3 linked regions of the Tribolium castaneum genome follow. The protein of the gene in region 1 purifies or fractionates together with the protein of each later gene. This does not show direct contact. Links are inferred from orthologs where the notes say so. Each region holds a gene or a part of one and is shown in the gene's direction. Other genes may lie near its edges.

What was found.
Region 2: the proteins of Phb1 (region 1) and calnexin purify together in Homo sapiens (affinity purification with mass spectrometry; 3 studies listed by BioGRID and IntAct, with this or other methods). This does not show direct contact. The link is inferred for Tribolium castaneum from reciprocal best matches to the Homo sapiens genes PHB1 and CANX.
Region 3: the proteins of Phb1 (region 1) and ER membrane protein complex subunit 2 purify together in Homo sapiens (affinity purification with mass spectrometry; 3 studies listed by BioGRID and IntAct, with this or other methods). This does not show direct contact. The link is inferred for Tribolium castaneum from reciprocal best matches to the Homo sapiens genes PHB1 and EMC2.

Annotation. Positions count from the first base shown.
Region 1 is NC_087398.1:10,073,388-10,078,871, forward strand, and holds Phb1 (prohibitin 1), read left to right. Parts: upstream 1-2,976; 5' UTR 2,977-3,110; intron 3,111-3,262; 5' UTR 3,263-3,268; coding exon 3,269-3,359; intron 3,360-3,414; coding exon 3,415-4,154; 3' UTR 4,155-4,280; downstream 4,281-5,484. Other genes in the region: slv (sugar transporter SWEET1), read left to right, coding at 664-967; uncharacterized protein LOC103312918, read right to left, coding at 1-66, 113-203, 249-305, 358-382, 436-502; mannose-P-dolichol utilization defect 1 protein homolog, read left to right, coding at 1,073-1,172, 1,220-1,854.
Region 2 is NC_087402.1:5,189,020-5,195,253, reverse strand, and holds calnexin, read left to right. Parts: upstream 1-2,372; 5' UTR 2,373-2,568; exon of another isoform or gene 2,569-2,573; intron 2,574-2,576; exon of another isoform or gene 2,577-2,671; intron 2,672-2,857; 5' UTR 2,858-2,876; coding exon 2,877-4,103; intron 4,104-4,786; coding exon 4,787-4,927; intron 4,928-5,156; coding exon 5,157-5,297; intron 5,298-5,349; coding exon 5,350-5,538; intron 5,539-5,587; coding exon 5,588-5,647; 3' UTR 5,648-6,147; downstream 6,148-6,234. Other genes in the region: gem-associated protein 5, read right to left, coding at 9-141, 192-364; nSMase (putative neutral sphingomyelinase), read left to right, coding at 866-897, 945-1,118, 1,165-1,348, 1,397-2,188; parathyroid hormone/parathyroid hormone-related peptide receptor, read right to left, coding at 6,148-6,234. UniProt on the Homo sapiens protein: Calcium-binding protein that interacts with newly synthesized monoglucosylated glycoproteins in the endoplasmic reticulum. It may act in assisting protein assembly and/or in the retention within the ER of unassembled protein subunits.
Region 3 is NC_087397.1:2,509,018-2,514,107, reverse strand, and holds ER membrane protein complex subunit 2, read left to right. Parts: upstream 1-2,356; 5' UTR 2,357-2,479; coding exon 2,480-2,495; intron 2,496-2,548; coding exon 2,549-2,662; intron 2,663-2,710; coding exon 2,711-3,005; intron 3,006-3,051; coding exon 3,052-3,463; 3' UTR 3,464-3,528; downstream 3,529-5,090. Other genes in the region: zinc finger protein 571, read right to left, coding at 1-1,900; ND-B16.6 (NADH dehydrogenase [ubiquinone] 1 alpha subcomplex subunit 13), read right to left, coding at 3,550-3,908, 3,984-4,080; nonsense-mediated mRNA decay factor SMG5, read left to right, coding at 4,504-4,574, 4,621-5,090. UniProt on the Homo sapiens protein: Part of the endoplasmic reticulum membrane protein complex (EMC) that enables the energy-independent insertion into endoplasmic reticulum membranes of newly synthesized membrane proteins.

The DNA of each region.
Region 1 (5,484 bases):
AGAGGACCATAGGATCCCAGTACATGAAACCGCGAATGAAACTAGAGTCGTTCCTACAGAAAATGTCTGAAAAAGATGAAAAAACTTATTTTACAGTCGAAATGATACTTACGAATAGGAGGAAAAGGATACAATTAACTGGGAAATAACGTCTCAGTTTGGCACTACAAACCAGTATCACCTCAAGACCCAAATAATTCATTCTAAAACGGTAATAAAATGCCGGATTTCGATCCGACAATACTCACAAAAAAATTATAATTAAAATAGTCCTGTTTTTGTAAACAAATGACCGAACTGGTGGTCTGAAAAAAGTGATTGCAATTTTTATGATACTTAATACCTATAGGTACGTACAGAAATCGCATCAGCAGGAGAAGCGCTAAAATGATCAAAAAATGACAAATCAAAATTGCAAAAGTTCCCCGAACAAACTTATTTTTATTTCTGATACATTCAAACGCTGGAATTTCGTCTCTGTTGATTGAAATGAGCCCATCATCCCGATTCACAGTCTGGACGGAGGCGGTTGGAGTGGCTGCTGTATCGACCGAAAAAGACTAAAAGACACAATTACACACTTTATGTACCCGCATTTCAACAATTAGCTACCGCAAATGTGTGCAAAGCCGATTCTCGCGGAAAATAAACATGATGTTTTAGGGGTTTCGGCTGGGGAGCAGGTGCCGCCTGGAAGAAAAACCTTGATTCGGAATCCGCATCCCAAACCTTACGTCTGCTTTTTGGCGAAATGTATATTTCAGTAACTGAGTCTTCGTTTGATGGGGGGACACTCATCTTGACGTTTGAATTTTCGCGCTACTGTCACCAAACTATCAATTCCTACGTTATGAATTTTGTGCGTTATGGATTTGTCATTAATTTGAAATTAAGTCAAAGTCATAAATTAAGTGGCTTTTTATCAAACACAGTAGCAAACGATGAGAACGACGTTTATTTAATTTAAATATCTCAGTTCTTATCGCCTCAAATCACAGATAATAACACTAGTGGCGTGACATAACCTCACCACGGTCCTTGACGTGTCATCATTTTAAAGAAGACACAAAAAATGGGCTCACAACCGCTCGAATTCATTCGACAAGTCCTTTTATTGGTTTTTACGCCCCACTGTTACGATAATTATTTCATTCATTTGAATTTTTTCGATGGTGAGTACAAAAAGTGAGGTTATAATGCACTTGACTTGTGCTTTCAGGGCCGTGTTTTTCTTCAACTTTGAGCAAATGCCTAGGTCTAGGCATAATTATGGGCTCACTTTTGGTAAAACTGCCCCAAATCATCAAAATTTACAAGAATAAAAGCGGGGAGGGCATCAGTTTGCTCAGTGTTACTTTGGACTTGACTGCAATAACGATTTACGCATCTTATAGTTTCCTCAAACAGTTCCCGTTCAGTGCGTGGGGCGATGCCGCCTTTCTTGCGATACAGACAGTCCTTGTTGGGGTTTTGGTGCTCCATTATGGGGGTTCTAGCTCAAAAGCACTTCTATATTTAGTTGCTTATTTGTTAGTCAATTTCATTCTAATGAGTGGCTTGACCCCTATCAGTGTCTTATGGACATTGCAAGGTTTTAACATTTTCATTGTTGTTAGCGGGAAGTTGACACAAGCTTATAGTAATTACAAAAATGGAACTACAGGTCAATTGTCAGCGGCTACTTTGATTATGTTATTTATGGGGTCTCTAGCCAGGATTTTCACCTCGATTCAGGAGACGGGGGACAAGATGGTCATTCTGACCTATATTGCTAGCACTCTTGCCAATGGGGTGCTGGTAGCGCAGTTGCTCTATTACTGGAACGTAACACCACAAAAAGAAAAGGCTCACTAGGGATTTAGGGATTAAAAAAATGTGCATAAGTTTCAATTTTTAGTGTAAAATATCACCAGTTGATGAGACTGTTAAATTCGTGTACAAATGTTGCAGTTTATCATTCCCTGTTAACGTGTAAGTCTTTGATTATTAAACGACTGTTTGGGAAAAATAAAAATGGTAATTAAACAGAAGTGGGTAGTTTTATTTAGCAGAACCCGTAGCTCTCAGAATTCTCAACTGTAATTCTCTTTATTCTTTACTAAGCGTCATTCAGATAAACTTATAAAACAGATAAAAAGGTAAAATAGACTTTTTATCGTAATTTGTTTACAAAATTTAATTTTTTGTTTGTGGTTGGAAATTTAAACTGTTGATTCTGACGTAAAAATTTAGATATCAAGTCGAGTTTCCATTTCAGTGTGAAAATAAGTGGTTATTTGTTGAATTAAATAATCCTCTAGAGCTTGGGCTAGCAATATTGGCTTGCAATATTGGTTGCATAACTACATTTTTTTTAATTTGCAAAAAATACTCAATTTAAAAATAAAGTGGTTGCGTGGCGGAGTGAATTTTTACACGGGCCAAATAATGAGTTAAATCTTGATGAAATAATGCCAACTTTTTTGAGAAAAAGTGTTATAGAGATTAAAAAAAAATTACGTTTTTTATGAAAATTAATTACTTTATTGAAAAAAATACCACCCTAGTGGATTAAATAATGTCGTTCTTCACATGTTACAGAGTCGAGAGTTTAAAAAAAAATAAAATACAGTTTTTATTACGTTTTAAAAATTCAACTAACTTTTTCAAACAATAAATCAATTCTTATAGCAATTAAAGAAACATAAATATGTGGTGTTGTACTTATGATTTGCTACAATTTAATTAATTATAAAAACTATTTTTGATATTATTTTTAAAAAATGGAATAAACATTTCAAAATGTGGTTATTTTCATTAGCAATGTTGGTATCAGAGGGCATCTGAAGAAACCATTGTTTTCTTACAATGACGGCAAAAGATTAAATATTTGAAGTTTCTGATGCTTTTTTCAATCTTTATTAATGTTAAGAATCGATATTTACGTGGTTTTAGTAATGTAATTCAAAGTTTACGAATAAAAAAATTCAAAATGTAGTTATTTTCTTCCACAAAGTTGGTGTAAAGTCACCAATTACGCTGTCAAATGTCAAATCCAATTCTTCCATTTTGTTCAAAGAGCAACTCGTGAGTTTGCCGGCTGATTTATTACATTTTGCAGTTAATTACAGGTAATTTATCATATTTAATGTATTAGCCAACGTTGTGTTTTCATATTGATTACGTTTTTTATACCAAACGTGGCTTTTTATGCGTAATGAGCCAAACTGATCCGACATAACCTTACATCCTGCACACATTACATTCAGTCCTTTTTTTCAAGTAAACAATGTCTGCGGCGCAATTATTCAACAGGATTGGACAGTTTGGCCTTGGAGTAGCTCTGGTAGGCGGCGTGGTCAATTCGGCGTTATACAATGGTAAAAATTAGCAAAAAATTGTGTTTGTGTTGGTGCTCAATTAATTAATTGATAGTCGATGGTGGTCACCGTGCCGTGATCTTCGACCGTTTCTCCGGCATCAAGAAGCAAGTGATTGGCGAAGGCACCCACTTCTTCATCCCCTGGGTGCAACGCCCCATCATCTTCGACGTGCGGTCGCGCCCCCGCAACGTCCCGGTCATCACCGGCAGCAAGGACTTGCAGAACGTCAACATCACCCTCCGTATCCTGTTCCGCCCCGTCCCCGACCAACTCCCGCGCATTTACACCGTCCTGGGGCAGGACTACGAAGAGCGCGTCCTCCCTTCCATCACCACCGAGGTGCTCAAGGCCGTGGTGGCGCAGTTCGACGCCGGGGAGCTCATCACACAGCGTGACCTCGTCTCGCAGAAGGTCAGCGAGGACCTCACGGAGAGGGCGTCGCAGTTTGGGGTCATCCTGGACGATATTTCCATCACGCATTTGACGTTTGGACGGGAGTTTACTCTTGCGGTGGAGCTGAAGCAGGTGGCGCAGCAGGAGGCGGAGAAGGCCAGGTTTTTGGTGGAGAAGGCGGAGCAGAATAAGAAGGCGGCGGTGATTTCGGCAGAAGGGGATGCTCAGGCGGCTACGTTGCTGGCGAAGGCGTTTGGGGATGCCGGAGAGGGGTTGGTGGAGTTGAGGAGGATTGAGGCTGCGGAGGATATCGCGTATCAATTGTCGAGGTCGAGGCAAGTGTCGTATTTGCCAGGGGGGCAAAATCTGTTGCTCAATGTGCCTACGCCCTCGAATTAAGGGCTTAAAGGGGGAGAGAGTCGGGTGTTTTGTTTGACTCGGGACTAGGAGTGAACTAGGATATGTACCAATTTTATTTTACTTATTTAAGGCCATACTGTTACTGTTAATAAATTTTATAAAATATTTTCGTGTTTTTTTTACCTGTTTTCTCAGAGGCGGATTAAGTATCCGCCCCGAATCTGGATATACTTTGGGCCTCTTTGTCGAAAACTATCAGTATTTATGGCTAATAAAAAATAATTGGCGATTATTTTTTATGTGGGGGTCTCTCGTTCACTCAATTTTTCGATCGCAATTAGGTCTACCTCTGTGGAGGTGTAATTTTAAAGATTTTCTTATCGGCTTAAAAAACAACAATCTACTTGTTGGTTGTTTTAAAATTTGAAAAATCCTCTTAAATTGTGTTTTCTAGAAATTCTCACTTTGAGTCAAACTTTCTCTACTTTCATTACAGATTGTAGGTAACCAATCACAATTCTAAAACGATCAAAATGCCGAAAAAAAGTTCTTTTTTACATGATACCAATTTTTACTTACAAATTTTCGATCAGCTTTAATATAATAATAAAAAAAAATTCCGACTTGTCGCACGCCGACAATGTGGACACTATTATTGGAAAAAACACAAGCACCGTTTTTGAAACAACACCATTTACCTAAGCCATGACCCCCTTTCGCATCACTTTTGAATATTCTGGGGCAGTTTCCACCAACTTTTCGTCTTTCTTGTTAGATTTTCCAGAAATGTCATTTGGAAAACTGAAGAGCGCGCGCATGCGCAACATGGATCATTTCGAGAATTCGTCAATTGAAACTTTTTAACTGATATTACAACTCATAGCAAATATAAAAGAGCTTCAATATAATATTCCTTATTTATTTCCTCCCATTATCCCAATTTTTGCATTTTCATCTAGTAGATCGTCCAAGATTACCTCTGAGGGTGAATTCATGAAAGACTGAAGATGTGACAGGCAACAAAGACAGACTCATGTTTTATGAATTAACGTAAGCCACGTAAAGATTGTTGTAAAATTTGTAAGCATTTTGATTGGACGGTTTGGGGTCGGCCATTAAAATTACGGAGAAAACCAATCACTTTAGATTTTTGGATTCATTGAAAAATTATATTTTCGGATATGATTGGTACATTTATGGTCGGCCATTATAATAACGTTAGCAACCAATCACTTTGAATTTTTGGACTCATTCAATAATTTTATTGAATGGCTATTGTAAACATTAAAATCAGGCAATAAATAAACCTTGTTTTTTAAACGACCTTACTTGGTGCCCTAGTAAAAATTTTATTGAAAAAAACTGGCAG
Region 2 (6,234 bases), on another chromosome or scaffold:
AGACTTACCACATGATCCCTATTCGACGTTTTCTTCTCGAAGGTATCCAAGTCCCACACCTTCATCACGCTGTCTTCCCCCAGGGACACCACGTACGAATGGGGCTCCTTCCATCTCCTGTTCAAACTAACGGAAGTGAGACTGAAACATCAATTGTAGAAAAACGGCCAAGAAACGTAAAACTCAAGTACAGTTTAGAGTGAGCCGAATGAATCAATTTCACTTCGGCCGGTTCTTCGGGGCCTTTTTCCCTAACGATAACAATATCGCTTTTTGCGCCATACACCAAGGTATTGTCAGGGGCACACGCCAACACTGAACTCCTGTACCAAAGGGGCGCAGGAGGAACAGCTAACTCGTTCATCTCACCAAATTATTCAACAACTGAACAAGTAACTTTTAAAACGCATTTACACGTTATTTTCACATGTGGTTGGGCGAGTTTGTGCACTGAACAAGACGTCTGAACCGGAGAATGTTCACCCGTCCGAAATTAATTGAAGTTAGCACCATAAACATTACAGTCGACCAGACAATCCCTGCACGCATTTCCACCATTTCCCACCATTCTCGTTTTCTACAGCCAAGTTCTGTTACAAATTAAAGCTTAACTCATCCAAAAATTACCGAAAAAAGTTATTGGTCGTTACCTGATTATTTGTTACATTCTGGTAATTTTTGCGAGTCGATTTAATTTATTTAATGTTTCGCCACCCTTTTAACTTACGCTGTTGGACGTTTGACAACTGTCACGTGGCCATGCAGGAAAAATGTCAACAGTAATGTCACACGTCACTGTTCTTTTAACACAAAGTTAGATCTATTTCGCAAAAATACTTCTATAAATCTATCATTTTCTGTAATAATGGAGTTTAAAGTGTTTACTTTGAATTGCTGGTAAGCTGTCATGTGATTTATGTTACAAAATTGCACAAAATTCTTAGGGGCCTTGCGGTGGTCTCCAAGAACCGAAGACACCGAATGCAGGCAATAGCTGAGAAGTTGGCGACTAGCCAGTACGATGTAGTTTGCCTCCAAGAGATATGGCTTGACTCTGACTACCAGTTAATCAGAAACAAAGTCTCAGGGGTGTTACCATACTCTCACTATTTTTACAGGTAAATTCAAAAATTCAGTTGAAACAAGCGTAAAGGTGAGTTGTAGCGGAGTCACGGGCTCTGGCGTTTGTATTTTATCGCGACACCCGATGGAGGACGTTTTTTTCCACCAATGGCCAGTAAATGGTTACATTCATAAAATCCACCATGGTGACTGGTTTGGTGGAAAGGGCGTGGGTTTATGTAAATTAAAGGTGAACAATTACACCGTCAACGTCTACTCTGCACATGTAAGATTTATTTTGCTTGATGAACAACACAAAGAGTAATAATTTTAGTTGCACGCAGAATACGACCGAAATTGTGATGAATACCAAGCTCACAGAGTGCTCCAATCTTTCGATACCGCTCAATTTATCCAAATGACGTCTGGAGACGCCGACCTAGTAGTCCTGGCCGGGGACTTAAATACCGAACCTGGAGATTTAGCCTACAGGATAATGTTGAGTGTTCCGGGACTTGTAGATGCGTTTGGTGAAGCTGGAGAAACGGTGCAGAATTGTGTGGCGACAAATGAAAGCCTCACTAATAGTTACACACCCGTGGCCTTACTCAAGAAAAACATTCCTGGCAAAAGAATCGACTATATCATGTATCATCCAGGCTCAAGTTTACAAATCGATTTAAAAAGCTACACATTGCCGTTACCACACAAAATCCCCGGATGTGCGTACAGTTACTCGGACCATGAAGCAATCGCTGCGACTTTAATCGTCACAAAGAGCGAGATAAGGTCGCTGAAAAGCGACCAACACATGAAGAAAACTGTCCTTGAAGAGAGCATAGAAATCTGTGATGACGCACTCAGGGGCTTGAATAACCATAAATATTTGTACTGGTTTTTTACGTTCGTTTTAATCGTGTTGCTGGTTACGACACTTGCAACTGACCTACCTTTCGGCTACAATCTGAATTTTATTTACCACATTTTGAAAATTTTAATCACCCTTTTTATGTTTTACACTTTGATGATGGCAACTATCTGGAATAAAATCGAACGTCATGCTGTGATTGCGGGCAAGTTGGGAATGGAGACAGCTTTGAGGAAATTAAAAGCCAAAGATTTGTAATTATATCAGGGCCAAAACAAGCTCAGTATTTTAAATCAAAGACCAACACCTGTTGCTCATTTTTTATTTGGTTTGTACGACTGTGATCGTTTCTGTACCACTGGTGAATAAAGTTTTCATTTTTTAACTGTTTGTACTTTTTTTCCCCGCCTATTTTTGAACTGAGCGCAACTTTGCCATCTGTTTGACGCTGATTGGTCGGCGAATTTGTGTTTATTCTCTTCATAAATGCGGTGTATTACGTGGTGTTCAAGAACTACAATAAAAATAATCTGATAATAAATGAAATACAGCCTAAGTAAACACCAATTTGAGTTAAGACTGTGGTGCTGAAGCTAGTGTTGTAAGAGTGCTGTGTAAAACTACTTCCGGATTTTGAGGTTAGGTATGTCATTTTATTTTGTCGGTCTCTAGAATTTTAATTATTTCATCGTGAAGTCGGCTTTTTTGTGCATTTTGTAGTAATAGCGTGTCGATAGTTGGGTAAGAGAGTGCGTTTTTGTCGATATTTGGCGTAATTTCGTAACTAATCGATTGGGAAGTGCGTTCACTAACCTTTCAGGTTAATTTTTTAAATTGGATTAGTCCCTGACTTATATTAGTAAATACTGCTTCCGTTTCGTCATCCTGTAATCACGACACATAATTAGTGCCCGGTTTGGTTTGCAGGACAATATATGATCACAAAATGCTTAGAAGTCTCGTTCCGGCAGTAATCACGTTATTGTTGATATTTTCGGCGGTAAAATGTGACGAAGTGGACGATTCTGACGAGGCTACTGTGGAAGTAGAACCGGAAGAATCACACATTGATATCCCCTACGAAAGTCCGAGCCCCCTTGACCCGAAAAAGGTCTATTTCGCCGAGCATTTCGACGATCCAGACCAGTTTGCGAAACGTTGGATAAAATCCCAAGCGAAGAAAGAAGGGATTTCCGAAGACATCGCAAAATACGACGGTGAATGGCAACTTGAACCAACCCAAAAAGACAGTCTAGTGGGCGACAAAGGTTTAGTGCTTAAATCAAAGGCTAAACACGCTGCTATTGCCTCCTCTCTCCTAAAACCGTTTATTTTTGATACTAAACCATTAATCGTGCAATATGAAGTAATATTCCAAGACGGCCAAGAATGTGGCGGAGCCTACTTGAAGCTGCTCACCCAGGACTCCGCCAGTAAAAACTTGAACAACTTCCACGATAAAACCCCCTACTCGATCATGTTCGGCCCCGACAAGTGCGGTAACGACCACAAGCTCCACTTTATCTTCAAGCACCGCAACCCTCTCAACGGGAGCGTCGAGGAAAAGCATTGCAAAAAACCCAAAGACCGCATTGAGGAAGTCTTCTCCGACAAACTCCCCCACTTGTTCACCCTTGTCCTGCACCCTGACAACACCTTCGAGATCCTAATCGACAACAAAGTGGTCAATTCGGGAAGTTTGCTTGAGGATTTCACCCCGGCAGTGAATCCTCCGAAAGAAATTGACGATCCTAATGACAAGAAACCTGAGGATTGGGATGAAAGGGAGAAAATCCCTGACCCAGATGCCGTGAAACCTGACGATTGGGATGAGGATGCGCCGGCTCAGATTGTTGATGAATCAGCGGTGAAACCGGAAGGTTGGCTGGATAATGAACCGTCGCATGTTTTCGATCCTGATGCAAAGAAACCAGAAGATTGGGATTCGGAAATGGACGGGGAGTGGGAACCACCGCTTATTGATAATCCCGCTTGTAAGGATGCTGTCGGGTGTGGGCCTTGGGAGCCCCCACTTATCAATAATCCCGATTATAAGGGGAAGTGGAGGGCGCCGCTTATCGATAATCCTAATTATAAGGGGAAGTGGAGGCCCAGGAGGATCCCCAATCCCGAGTTCTTCGAAGATAAGCATCCCTTTAAAATGCAGACTGTTGTAAGTAAATGGTTAAAAAATTATCTTGTTTATGTAACTGTAATTATTGGTGCCGATATGTTTACATTATTTTTTCTTCTTGTTCAAATTTATCAGTTGATTTTGTACACTATTAGAACATAGTTTACAAATCTGCAGTCAAAATTTGGCTGTCAGCTCTAGTTTCCTCTCCAGTTTCCAGAATTTGTGAAAAGTATATTTCGATATGCTTTGTACAAAAATAACAAATTCTGAGCTTCTAATTTTGTTAGCAATTTTTTTAGAGTGCCTAGGACAGTGAGAAAATGGTAAAAGAATTGCCTCTTGATAAAATTGAGCCAACTTGAAATTGACACATTTATTTTTGCGATTTTTTTTTATTATCTTTGGTTTTTGGCAGAATTGTAGTTGTTTAATTTCCATATTTTTACCGAAACTGCGTATTTGATTATTGCATTGTTGCCTTCAACAAAACATGTTGCAAAAAAGAATTGTTTGTGTCACTACAAAAGGATTTAGTTGCTATGTGAGATATGCTAACTAAGGAAGTAATATATACTTAGCCACACCCAATCGTTTTTATGCTTATTTTGGCGAATTTGCGTTCGTATTGTGATAAAAATGTTTTGTAAACCTAAATAAAGAATTGTATTTTTGCAATTCATTCAAGATTAATTTATCTTTGGACAAATAACTTTTTTCAGACCGCTGTTGGATTTGAGTTATGGTCAATGTCAAAGGACATTTTCTTCGACAATATTATTATTACCGACGATATTACCGTTGCGAACCATTGGGCAGACGCCACTTTTGAAAAAAAGAAGCAAAAGATCGCCAAGGATTCGGTTAGTATCTGTTTAATTTAAATGAATTTTATTATATTTGTGATTTTTTACTAAATAAGAGGACACTGTGGGGTCGTCTTATGAAAAAGTTAAACTATAAACCTGTACCGTGGTTCTTATATTTCGTTTATTGCGCCATACCGGTTTGTTGTTACATATGGTACCTCTACTTCTGCATTCAAGAGGTATTTTCGTACTGCTAGTTATAGTTTTCTTTGTTTTGACATAGGAAAGCGTAATTCAAAAATTAGCTACCTTGACCAATGATTACCCTTGGCTTTGGGGAGTATACATTATCGTACTAGGCATCCCTGTTGTTTTTGTATTATACCTTTGCTGCAAGCCTGGATCCTCTGCTAGTCAAATTCAGGTATTTTGGCTATTGCATTAAATTTTGCGGTGTTAATAAGTGACAATGACAGGAGAAAGAGGAGCTTCGACAAGCAGCGCAACATAAAAAGACTGACGAAACGACTGAAGATGTTGTAGAAGAAGAAGGTAAAGAAGAAGAAGAAGATGAAGTAGAAGCTGAAAATGCAGAAGACGACGATAGAGAAAAGAATTCAGGGCCTGATTCCGACGAAGAAGAGGAATCAGAGGAAAAAACAGAGGTGAGATTCAGTCGTTAAAATTAAAATTGGGTTTATCATGTTCTCGCAGGAACAGTCATCCAAAGGTGCAGGTGACGGCGCGAGGAAACGAAAAGTTCGTAAGGAGTGATAGTAATTTTTGTATAACTTGCACCAGCACTGTTTTCATCATGCAATCCTGCAGTTGTATTTATTTACGATTGTTTGTTTTTTTGCTGTACATTATTCGTTCCATTTTTCCTTAGGAAATTTGTTCTTTTTGAAAGAATAGTATAATTGTAGTTGTTACGTTTTCGAATAAAGTATTTGACAGCGGTTCATTTTACTGTATTTGTAAATAATCAAACGGAGGGCTTAAGGGAAAGGTATTAAGCCGTTTGTATATTTGAGGATTATTTATTACAGAAAATAAAAAACATGGAACTATTTTTTGGTAATTTGTACCATTTCACCGGCAGCTCTTCAGTTTCCCAGACCAAATTCGCCCGTACTAGTATTATGTCATTGCATGATTTGCATCAGCGATTTTTCTATATTATATTTATAATGTCCTGTGATTATGTAATAGTTCAGAGGAAAATAAATTACTTAAGTTTATTGTGTGTGGAACTAAAGCTACAATAAATAAACTTAAAAATAATCACTTGTTTTGTTAATGCACAGCTGATCTTTAATCCCCGCGTTGTGCGGCATTTCTTGCAACTCTTCAGTCAGCGG
Region 3 (5,090 bases), on another chromosome or scaffold:
AGGGTTTTATGCCCAAATGGCGCCTCATATGGAGCTGGATGTTCTGTCTCCGGTAGAACAAGCGTCCACATATTTTACATTCTAGGGGATGTATTCGCAAATGTATGGAAAACTTGTAATCATTCGGGAACAATTCGCCACAAGTTATACATTTGTGGCGCGACAGTGCTGTAATTTTGTGGACGCTTATTTTATGCTCCTTCAGTGCTTTGGCATTTTTCAGTACGCAGCCACAGATCGGACAAACCGATTTCAATTCGGTCGGCATTTGTGGTGTTGTGGCGATTGGATCGGTTTGTGCTTCGGGCGTTTCCGCTTCGCTTGGAGTTTCCATTTTGAGTTTGTTCGTAAAAACGAAGTTGTTCTCGCTTTCGGGCTTTTCAGTTTTGAGTTTAACGACGAGTTTTTTGACTTTTTTCTTGTCAAGTTCGCTGCCGATTCGATTAAGTTTGCGTTTTTCGGGATGTTTTTCCGCCTCGTGTTCTTTCCTCTCTCTGAGACAGCTGAACGCTTCGTCACATTTCGAACATTTGAAGTTGAGAGGAGGTCCGGTGAAGCTGACTATAGTGGGGCTGTCGTCGTCCTCCTCGGGATAGGTCACGTGTGAGGGGATGCGACTTTGAAGGGGGGGCACTTCGACGTCGGAACTGTCGGAAGCCTCCCAGTTTTCGCGCGTTAGGAGGTCGTACGAGGTGGACATCCCTGAGCTGCCTTCGTTATATTGCACCCGGTTCCAGGTGATATCACTGGAGCCCCCTAGACTCTCCTGACCGGAGAGCTCGCCCCTCGGGGGCATACGCTCGTCGGCTCGGATGTTAACATTCGAGCTCTCCCGAGACATGCTCTCTTCCGCATCTCTCTGATCCAGAAAATCATCTTTAGCACTATCAACCATCCCGCCGATCGTCATTAAAACTCCCGACCGGTCAGGAGCGATACCTTCAAAATTTTCAACCTGAGATATAATCTGATTGCCCGCAAACTCATTTATATCATTAATTACCATCTGGACTCCGTTCATATCAACGAAGTCTAGCTGGTCAGACTGCAAAATATTCGAAGCCGTGTAAATCGGGTTCTGGCCCAATTCCACCGAAGTGTAATTCGGATTCTCGTTCTCGTTCACAAAATAAAACTCGGAATCGGCCTGTTTCGGCTCAGTCTCATCCGAAACGTCCTCTTCCGAGGTCAAGTTGTTGTTCTGCGTCTGACAGGCTTTATTCAACTCGCCGCTCTCGGAGTCCGGACTCGGGGGCCCTTCCTGTGCGTTAAAACCCTCCTCAATTTCATACACATTCAAATCCAAACTATTATTGATCTGCTCCTGCATATCGCAGTCGATTTTAATCGAATCACTCAGCGTCTCGCTCGCATCTTCGTCAATCTCCTCGATTTTCTTCGGCGAGTCGCGTTCGTTCTCGGGCTCCTCCGTGATGCTGCAGTCCTGTGACGACGTCGACGGCAACTCAAACGGCAGCGTCCGCATGGGGGAAACACAGGAGCCGCTTGACATGATCAGCTGTTGCTGGTAGATGTAGGGCATCATTTGCGGGTTCAAAATCGTGGGAATGACGTATTGCGATGGCACGTTTTGGGGCGAGGCGGTCGTGCTGCTCATGCTCTGCTGGTAGATGAAGACGTGGTTGCCCTGCAGGGGGGGCATGTTGACCAAGCCGCCCTGGTTCCAGCTCTGGTTCACCACGGCGGTGTGGGTGGTGGAGGCGCCAGGGTCGGGCTGGGAGGAGGGGTTGCCGATTTTTTCCACATCTCCGGTCTCCGACAGCCGGACCAGAGCCTCGATCACCTTCTGCTTGGGATGGCTGCTCAAGTGGGTCTTTAGGGTTATGCCCGGTCTGAGATACAATGTACAGACAGGACAGGATATGTTGCTCGTGTCCATTTTTATTGCAACTGATTGGAATTCACACAAGTTGCTCAGCTGTACACTCCTCTGACTAGGTTATTGATCTGTTATAACAAAATCAATGATGAGAACTCAACAACGGCTAAATCAGAGGAGATAACGCGGTTTAAGCCTTTTTCGAACGTGGGGCCTTGCTGGCTTTTGGAGCGATAAGCGAATTACTGATATTTTCGAGCGAATAAACAAAAAATATCACAAAACATAAGAACCAGTTTCTTGGTATTGCGAGACGGGGGATTGATTTTTCAAAAGACTCACCTTTTCCGGGTTAAAACGGCATTTTGAGGAGGCGGCAGATACACCAATTTTCCGAAAAATTAAAGTTTTTTGAGATTTTAATCAGTAAACCAAGAAATTTCAGTCAGCCATCATGATTGACAAAGAACTAGGGTTTTCACAGAAGTGCCGAGCGGTTGCCGACACTGACTGTCGAATAAATCAAAAAGTGACGTGTGTTCATTAAAACAACTCGAATAATTAAGATATAATTGATCATTTAGAAATGTTAGAGTAACGATTTTATCGTAATTGAAGAACTTCCAGCGATTAAGCATCATGGCAAACTTAAACAGTTCGTATTACCTGATTTAAAAATCAATAAATCAGCAATATTGCAAATTGTAGGTATTCTTGAAAGATTACGACTTTGGCGAGAGAACAACGACCGTAAAAGTCGCAAAATCGTCGAATATTGGATCACCGAACTCGAATCAAATATTCAAAAGTTGGGGAGAGAAAGTACGACATTTTTAATCTCTACCAAACATTAAACATTGCACATTTCAGAAGCCCTAATTTTAGAGCAAGTTTGCATAGCTGCTCTCGACTGCAACGAGTTCACTATCGCTAAAAAATGCCTCAAGGAGTTGCATAAAGATTTCCCCAATAGTCTAAGGGTGAGAAAATACGAGGCCATGCTTTTTGAAGCCCAGGAAAAGTACGAAGACGCTATTAAAATCTTGGACGACATAATCAAAGTCGATGAGACCAACAGTGGTGCCAAAAAACGCAAAATTGCAATTCTGAAAGCCCAGGGCAAGACCGTTGAGGCGATCAAAGAACTGGCAGACTATTTGAAAATGTAATTATTTCATGGCGAAAAACACTGTGATTAACATTTTTTGTAGTTTTATGGCCGACGGTGAGGCCTGGCAGGAGCTCAGTGAACTTTACATAACTGAGCAGGATTTCCAAAAGGCCGCTTTTTGCGTGGAAGAATTGATTTTACACAACCCCCACAATCACTTATTGCATCAGCGTTACGCCGATATAAAGTACACGCAAGGTGGTTTGGAAAACATTGAATTAGCGCGCTCTTACTACTGCCAAGCGATTAAACTGAATCCGAAAAACGTGAGAGCCCTTTACGGCCTTTACATTGCGACTACTGCTATTGCCACTTCAGCAAAATGTTCATCACAGAAGAAGAAAGAGGCGCAGAAGCTGTCAGAGTGGGCACTGAACGAGATTCAAAACCAGTACAAACACTCCAACATTGACGATATTGAGGATAGGCTTGGGGCATTGCAAATTAATTAGGAATAACACTTGTAAGGGTATTAAAAATACAGCACGTTTTCCCAAATATATTAACAAAAAATGAATTTACTACAACCAACAATGCCTTACGACCACTGTCTGATATAAGCCCTATCTCTGAAGTCCTTCATGGGGGCATGCACGTAATACCCTTGCATCATGGGTTCAATCAACTTGTCCTTATCAAACGATTTAAACAAGGGCTCTCCGTAATACGTCCCGACTTCCCATCCCTCAACATTCGCCATCAACTTGGCTTCCTCGTCCCGATTTCGCCTCAACTGTTTCAAGTATTCGCGGTCTCGCTCCGCAAGCAACAAGGGGAAAATAGCGAAACGACCGGACCTCATCTCAATTTCGTTAGCTTGCACTTGTTTACAGTTCAAGTAGTAGAGGTAGCTTGCGGCTGCGGTCATTCCGAGATAGCCCCCGAAAAGGGCCCAACCTAAAGTGGGGTTAAATTATTACATAACAGTAAAGCACGTTTAGTGGAAGTGGCACTAAAAGAGCAATGACCTACCGCTGAAGTACGATCTTGCGGGGACTCTCTTGAAGTTTATGGGCCTGTAGCCCCCAGACGGGGGCATATCCTGCTTTTTTGCCGCAGCCGTGGCCATTTTTATTGACAACAAACAGCTGTTTGGCAGGGCGACATCTATTGATTTGGGTACAGTTTCCTGTACTTCGACTTAGCTAATTGCGCAGTGTTTCATTATTTTTGCTAAAAATTTTAACTGTGACGAAACGCCCGCATTAAAATATAGTTTGGGGGCGAATTTTGGTTAAATTGAGTCGATGGTTTGGCTGTTTTACGCGACCAAATTTTCCGTGCCGCTAGATGGCGGCGTAAAATTTCTCAAAATCATGTGGCAATGGACATATTTGACGATTTGATAAGAAATTGTGATGGTGTCAAAACATATTTGTGAAATTAACCATGATAGAAAAATGAGTTGTGTGGCCGTTCGGTATTTGGAATCACTAATCGAGTTCAAAGGAAGTTTGTTCAATTCTTGACCGGGGTAGCAACATGAGTTGAAATGAAGAAGGTTAAAAATTCTACCGATATCCACCAAAAGCAGGGCCTTGAGCAGTCTAAAAAGTTGTACAGGTGGGTACAGCCCGTGGCCCTGCACATGTCTAGCCCCCTTTTGTAGATCTACAACCGAGCAGGCAAAACGTTTAGATGACGCTCGCAGCTGCGCCCGGACCATCAGCGACCTATTCACCCCCAACTTGCAAATCCAACGGCGGAAATTCTGCGAGTTCTGCGAACGGTTGATTTTTTCCGACCCCGTCCTGTATGGAAAAAAAGGAGAGGAGTTACTGTGGCGCAAAGGCTATTATGACGTCGTTTCCACCGCGAAAAAACTCAAAAAGAAGGAATACACCCAGAACGAAATTTGCAATTTACTGGCACATGTTAATTCCGGCATTGGCTTCTACCACCACATGATATCCAAACTGCAGTGCGAATTTAATTTAAATCTGACTCATGTCATCGATTTTTCAATGGGGGGCGCCTTCGGCAAGGGCGACGCCAGAACGGAGTGTCTCGAGTGGGCGAACCTTTCAGTACACCAATGTTTGATTTATTTAGGCGATTTGAGTCGATACAAACTCGAGA